2 linked regions of the Sus scrofa genome follow. The protein of the gene in region 1 purifies or fractionates together with the protein of each later gene. This does not show direct contact. Links are inferred from orthologs where the notes say so. Each region holds a gene or a part of one and is shown in the gene's direction. Other genes may lie near its edges.

What was found.
Region 2: the proteins of DUSP10 (region 1) and MAPK9 purify together in Homo sapiens (affinity purification with mass spectrometry; 3 studies listed by BioGRID and IntAct, with this or other methods). This does not show direct contact. The link is inferred for Sus scrofa from reciprocal best matches to the Homo sapiens genes DUSP10 and MAPK9.

What each region holds. Positions count from the first base shown.
Region 1 is NC_010452.4:10,867,849-10,871,667, reverse strand, and holds part of DUSP10 (dual specificity protein phosphatase 10), read left to right. Parts: intron 1-121; coding exon 122-493; intron 494-3,819. UniProt on the Homo sapiens protein: Protein phosphatase involved in the inactivation of MAP kinases. Has a specificity for the MAPK11/MAPK12/MAPK13/MAPK14 subfamily. It preferably dephosphorylates p38.
Region 2 is NC_010444.4:78,379,690-78,383,508, forward strand, and holds part of MAPK9 (mitogen-activated protein kinase 9), read left to right. Parts: intron 1-458; coding exon 459-624; intron 625-1,789; coding exon 1,790-1,861; intron 1,862-2,201; coding exon of another isoform or gene 2,202-2,273; intron 2,274-3,819. UniProt on the Homo sapiens protein: Serine/threonine-protein kinase involved in various processes such as cell proliferation, differentiation, migration, transformation and programmed cell death.

The sequences.
Region 1 (3,819 bases):
AAGGAATAAGCCGCCACACCCACTCATTCCTATGGGGAAAACGGCTGGGGAAAACGGCGTTTTCTGGCCGTTCTCAAGTTCTGAGGGTTAGTCCTTCTCACTTTCTGTGTTTCGGCCGCAGGTGGACTTAGCAGTTTTAAGCAGAACCATGAAAACCTCTGCGACAACTCCCTCCAGCTCCAGGAGTGCCGGGAGGTGGGGGGCGGCGCGTCCGCGGCCTCGAACCCGCTACCTCAGCCCGCGCCCAGCACCCCCGACATCGAGAACGCCGAGCTGACGCCCATCCTGCCCTTCCTGTTCCTCGGCAACGAGCAGGATGCTCAGGACCTGGACATGATGCAGCGGCTGAACATCGGCTACGTCATCAACGTCACCACCCACCTGCCCCTCTACCACTACGAGAAAGGCCTCTTCAACTACAAGCGGCTGCCGGCCACCGACAGCAACAAGCAGAACCTGCGGCAGTACTTCGAAGAGGCCTTTGAGTTCATTGGTAACTATCTCCCACGGGGAGGTCGCATCTTCCGCCTCCCTTTCTCCCTCCAGCCTTGGCTTTGCTCTCAGGTCCGAGGTTTACGCCTGGGTGGCCATCAACGCTGCCCGAGGCGTTTGGGGGCTCTGCCACCTGGTGCGGCCAAAGTAGCCTCCTAAGTCGTAGCTCCTGGAGGCTCCTGGAGCCCACGGGATGGTCAAAAAAGACCGGTTCCCACTGGGCGGAGGGCCGCTCAACGAGAAACCCTCCTCCTCCCGGGGCTCTCGGTGAGAAAGCCGCAGGGGTCACAGCACTGACCGTCCTTTAATCGCAGCGCCCAAGAACTGGCAGAGAGTAAGAAACTGGCGGTCAGGGCAGGTGCACGGGAACTCCGGGCACCGTGCAGGCCCTACAAGCGTCGGCCCTCCTCGGTATCCGCGGCTTCTGCCCATCGCAGGTGCGACTCGCCGATGCTGAGTTCTGAGGGTCCTTTGCCATGTTCACATGAGGGACTCGAGCATCCGCAAATTTCATCGCGGGGGGTGGGGGGGGATACGGGGCGGGCTGTTGGAGTACGATGCCCCTTCCAAAGTCACCCACGTCTCCCTTACTGTGAGGTAAACTCATTTGCCACTGATACCGCCTCTTTACAGGAGGTGGCGGCGCGGGCAGCGTTTCTGAGGAAGGACCTGTTTCAGACACCTGGGCCGTGGTGACCAGGACCCTGTCTCTCCTCAGGGCAGAGCAGAGAGAGGAGGGGAGGGCCGCTGGGGGTGGTTTTCCCTGCTGTTTGCTTTGTCTCAGATCATCGTTGGGTGGCAAAAGGGCACGAGGTCACCTGTTAATGAACTGGTATGAGACTTCCGTAGTCTACCCCAGACTCGCCCAAGCGGGAAAGACCAAATCGTGTAGTTCCCAAGGAGAGAAAATTCTAGCATCAGCAGGCTTTAATCTCCAGAAGGAAGAATGGCCAGGCTGGCCCTAACCTTAAACTTTAACGTTTGCTGCTTCTCTAGCTGCAAACTATCACAAGGCTCAAAGTATCACTCGGTGAGCACCTGGCACCCAGCGGGTAGTTAACAATTGTTTGTTTTTTCAAGCAACTCCAACCTTTCTTCCCACAAAGGGATGACCCAGTGCTTTTCCTAAATATTGCAGCAGGTTGTCACTGGCCTCTCTCTCGGGAAGAAGGCAGGCGTGTTTGGTGTCTCTTTGTCTAAACAACAACAAAAACCTTGGATTTAACGGCCAGCAGGGAGGCTGGATTTGCCAGAGATTTGGCAGCTGTGGTCACCTTGCCTGCGTATCCCTGTGAATTGTGGCTTTAATACAGGACCGTGGGATGGTCAGTCTGGGAGGAATTTCTTTTCTTTCTTTCTTTTTTTTTCCATCTGTGGCACCCCACAGCATATGGAGTTCCTGGGCCAGGGATCAGGTCTGAGCCGCAGTTGCGGCAACCCACTGTGCCGGGCCAGGGAGCGAACCTGAGACCCAGTGTTCCCCAGGTGCCGCTGATCCCATTGCGCCACAGTGGGAACTCCTGGGAGGAACTTCCGAGTGGTCACTGAGCTCAGAAAAGTAAGGTGACTTCTCCAAGGTTGTAGGAATCTTAGTGTCCCAGAAGGGACCAGAGCCTGGCACTCTCAACTTCAAACTCAGGAGCCTTTTTATAATGCATTGAGGCAGTGTTTATAAGGCTCTTATTAGTTCCCAACAGGCAGAGCTTGTGGCTGCAAAGATGCTTGAAATTCTTTACTGCTGGTGTCTGAATCAAACCTTGAGCCTTGGGGAAGAAAAGTTTGTCACCAAGCAGAAGAGGAACTTCCTGGTTGATATATGATGTCGTGCCTGTAATTTTATCTGACTTAATTCCAGTTGGGGGAAGTTAGGAAATGGTTTTCCGTGTAGTGAGTAGCATAGGATATGCTTGTTCTAAGAGGATTTCAGTCAAAGCACCCACATTCCTTATAGATTATTCAGGCTCACCTGTTTTTTTTTTTTTTTTTTTTTTTTTTTCTTTAAAGAAACAAAACAGAAAATAAATAGCATTTAGCCTGAAAAGCAATTCAACATCGCCCCCTGCATAGGCACCGTTTTTATTTTCTTTGTTATATCATTAGATCAACTGAAATACTATACTCGCTTGAAGGAAAACAGAGCCTGTTTTATAACACAATAATATTCACAGAGTCCACTGTAAACTAAGCGGAGTCTAGGTTTAAGGTTTACCTCTGCCAGTTTCTTTATCCTTGAATGGGGTGGTGCTATTTCTTTGGTTCTGAGCCTGCTTAGTTGGTGTTGGTCCCATTAATCAGAAGGGAAGATTGAGGCTCTCAGCAGTTACAGGACTTACGCAAGGTGGAACCACGGCCAAAGGCAGCACTTGGGGGCTCTTTGCCACCCGGCTTTCCAGTCTTGGGATGAAGGCAGCTAAATACTGTGTGCTGAAGAGAAGAAATCAAAAACGAGAGATACTTTCCTAAAATACTGTTATCTAGAAGGAAGCTAAATCTTTGGATTTTTAAGATGAAAATTTGCACCATGTCTCTTTCGTTGGTCTCCTGGTGGGTAGCCAGGAGTAGGAGTTTATGTTAGAACCTGGCTCTCCTATTCCTTCTGCTTCCCTAGTCTTCATCTCAGGGCTACTTTTTTCAAGGCTGCCTTCTAGTTTAGACATGTCATCAACAATCCATTCAGGCAGTGCCCACAAGCTGTTCCCCTAGGATTTTAAAATAGCTGAAAACCTTTAGAGTGTTGCCATATGCAATTGCTCTGGATTCTGAGCCATCATTGGAACTCCTCCGTCTTCTGCATCATTGCCGTGTTGGAAGAGCATGCCTGGATGCAGAGGGGGTTGGATGGCTCAGATGGAGATGACGCCTTATGCCTGAGGACTATACGCCTTTAACTTTGCAACAGTAGGGCTTTCCGGTGAGAAGCTGAACATAGTAACTTTCCAGTTGAGTTTTGTTCCTTTAACCTCCTTTAGGGTTTCACCAGACAAACTCATCCATTTAATCTCAGTTCCTATAATCAGCCATCCTATAGCACAAACAAAGAAATGTTTCTTTTTTCTCTTACGGGTGGGAATGACATTGTTAATAACACTGGCTTTGATGAGTCTCACCGCATGGCTGTGGGAACCAACATCCTTAATCAGAGGGGATTCCTAAGCAGGAGCTTGCTTCATCCTGAAGCTGACTGTGCCATGGCTCCGTCCTCAGCTGGCCACCATCACCTAGGAAGTCGACTGTAAATGACTCCTTGACCTAGTTTTTTCTTTAGACGCAGAAATGTAGCTTCTTGTTCATGCTACTGTTGCTTTCAGCCAGTTCTGAAGGTAGTGA
Region 2 (3,819 bases), on another chromosome or scaffold:
AACCTCATGGTTCCTAGTCGGATTCATTAACCACTGCGCCACCACAGGAACTCCCTTTCTTTATTTTAAAATATCTTTTGTCTGATGTGAGTATTGCTACTCCTGCTTTTCTGTAATTTTCATTTGCAAGTAATATTTTCTTCCATCCCCTTGTTTTAAGTCTGTATTGTCCTAAGATTTGAAGTGGGTCCCTTGTAAACAGCATATATATGGGTCTTATTTTTATATCCATTCAGCCAGTCTGTGTCTTTTAGTTGGAGCACTTAATCCATTTACATTCAGTGTGGTAGAATTTTCCAAAATGGTTCCAAAAATCCCAGGGTTCGATTCTAACTTTGCTCCTTCTGGCGTTCTCACATGCTTCAGTAGTCACTGACCTCACAAATCCTTACCAATGTGAGATTGTTTACTTAGCATGCTTTGGTTCATTTTTCTAATTTAAACCATTTCTATCCTAGGATTTGAAACCTAGCAACATTGTAGTAAAATCAGATTGCACCCTTAAGATTCTTGACTTTGGCCTGGCCCGCACAGCATGCACCAACTTTATGATGACCCCCTATGTGGTGACACGGTATTATCGGGCACCAGAAGTCATCCTGGGCATGGGCTATAAAGAGAACGGTGAGTACAGACAGAACTGAAAGAGGCTGAGATGTTTAGAAAGAGTGCTATTAGCCATCACTAGTTTTTTTCCCTTTCCTGTGAACTATATGGAATATAATATGGAGACTGTATTATACATAGCTTATGGTAGTTCACAGATGAGAAATAATTAATTTTATATTTCCTTCAGTTAAAATTATTCACTTTAAAAATTCACTTTTGAGATTAATATTTTTGAACATTTATCAAAGCATAACACACTTACAAGGAGGTATGCAAATCCCTAGTGGGCAGCTCGGTCGGAGCACACCCACATAACCAGCGGCACCCCAGACTCTCCGGACCCTCTTTGGGTCTCAGCCCCTGAGGGAAGCCATTATCCTGATTTCCAGCACCATAGATTGGTTTTGCTTATTTTTAAACTTGATATAAATAGAATACAAAATGTGCTTTTTATGTATAGAATTGGTAGTTTTTTTTTTGAGGAGAGGTGTAGTTGTTATTATCCTACTAATATTTTAGTTGATTTACTACTGTAATGCCATGAAATTTTCTAAATATATGGTACCAATATATTTCTAAAATTGGTATTTTTTTAACAACAAAACTTATTCTAACAATATCAGAGCTCTTAGAAACTTAGCTTTTGACAAGTTTGTCTAAATTTGACTTTTGACTAAATCACATTTCCTTGTTAAGAAAAAAGGAGTCTGAAAGCTTGCCCAAGTCATATGAAATGAGTTGCACCTCAAGTTTATTCAGATGTTTTATAACCTGTGTTCCCATTCTGAGAGACACAGCTCTGTGGGCTTCCATTCCCCCGTGGACATGAGAGAAAATCAGATCCCCTGTTAGCTTCTCCCACCCGACCCCCACCAGCAGGGGCACTAAACAGCCCTCTGCCCTGGCATCTGAGGCCTGGGGTTGAGCTGGACCCCACGAAAGAGGGTGAACGGCCAGAAGTTAGGTCACCTCTGACCTGGCCTCATCTGGAGCCCAGATAAGCCTGTCCCCATGAGGCCCTGCTGACTTGACAGTTTAGAAAAGGTTCATTCTGGAGGTTTAGTATTCATATTTTACAAAAGTCTTGCTGACAAGCTGGGTTTGTCTTTGTTTGGGAGGAGGGTTTGAGAAAAGGCTTGTGGGGGTCTCTGGCTGGTTTTAATCACCTGGTGTTTGGTAGTGGACATCTGGTCTGTCGGGTGCATCATGGCAGAAATGGTCCTCCATAAAGTCCTGTTCCCAGGAAGAGACTGTATCCTTCACAGGGAGAGACCTGGCACTGGCCACAAGGGCTGGGGGGTGGGGGTGGGCCTTTGCCTAGAAACATCTTCGTGGGGATAAGCACTTCTTATTTCTGGGGCTTTGTTTTTGAAACTGTAAAGTATTGGGCTCTTTGGCACTAAAAGCCCAGATTGCTGCAAACTGAAGGCCAAAATAGAGATCAGCAATCTTTCATACTGTGTAAAAAGTTCACCCTTAATGAGCAATTTATTTTCCATATTTGTGTGTTTAGTATACTGTTAGAATTCCTTTTCCTCACCTTTGTTTTGTTCATGGCACTTCATAATTTTGTCATTTCATTTTATTTTCAGTTGATATCTGGTCAGTGGGTTGCATCATGGGAGAGCTGGTGAAAGGTTGTGTGATATTCCAAGGCACTGATCGTATCCTTCCCGGGGACCTTCCCGGCCATGCTTTCCATAAACACCAAAGGCAGCAGGAGCTCAGAAGGAAAATGTTAATTCTAGACTGTGTTCTAAGGAGGTCTTGATTGTGTTTGTTAAATTAGTGTCACAAACCAAATGGTTCCATTTTCTGTTTTCTTTTTTACTTGACTACCTGTAATGGTTTTATTGAGGCATAGAATTAAGTTAAACCAATTTATATTAGTTCTTAGTTTTATTACAAATAACTTGTAAGAAACTTACTCTTTGACAAATGTATTTTGCTATTTAAATGAAAATAATATTTATTTAGTTCATCCTATTAGTTTAACTACGAAGTTGTCTAAATTTCATAGGCCAGTATTCTTAATGTTATTTGTTTAATAAACTATTTCGTTAGTTACCAGGATGCATTCAAATATTTCTCCCCAAACTAAGAACCAGATAAAGCACACTGCATAAGACCTACATGAAAAGATTAAAGTGAAAAGTTTGTGAGGAACAATATGTACTCAATTTTTTTATTTGTTACCCTTCTGACATTCTGTAGAAAATTTTAGAAGATCCACTTAGAAGGTTATTTTGTGACACATTGGGGAAGTCTAAATAAATATAAGATTAACTTATATTGTGGTCAACAAATCATATCAACGATGTATAGCATAAAGGAGAATAGATATATGATAGTTACAATAGCTTTCTTTTCTCATATTCCTCATATTCTTCCATCTTCAATATTTTTTACTCTAACATGGTACTTCACATATACCCTTTTCCATTTGTGTTCTAACCACTTAAAATTTTCATTAGTCTTTTGATTTTGTTTTTTGTTATGAAAGCCTAAAGTGGTCTCTGTCTGCTGGCAGATTGATGGTTATCTTTAAAAGAAATCAAGTTGTGTAGTCGATGTTTTTAATGTATTTTATTAAAGTAATTTTAGTTTTTTATAATTTTATGAGGGTGGTTTTCTTGTAATGTAAATTCTTCGAACACCAACTTGGAATGAAAAGATTTTTTTCCTATCGTTTTATTTACCTTCCTTGACATTTTTCACATCACAGATTTTATGTGAAGGTAAATATAGCATTTATTTTGTTCCAATAAATTTTCTAGCAATTTTCCATACTCTGACCTTAGATTCAGCTACTTCAAACTGCAAATAAGGGGATCTTTAATTTGCAAATAAATTCACTTAAAAAGGGAAAAGTTGATGTATTCTAAAGATACTACTTAGAAGTATCTACTTAGTATTCATTTGTCTTAATTTTTATTCATTTTGCATCTTTCCTTTTTTATTAAACGTTTTCTTTAGGAGGTACAGAAATGAAAAGTATGGGAACTTTTTGGTGCATTATTAAGTAATTTTAAATTCTTAATTTACATATTAATATATTGCAATGTCAGTAATTAATAATTTTATATATAAGGTCACCTAATGTCATTCTCAAAACACATATGGAGATTACATCATTTCCAAAGATAATTTTGCTAACTTTTTCAAACATTAGATTAAAAATTACTAGCATAGAAAAAGATTCTGGGAGTT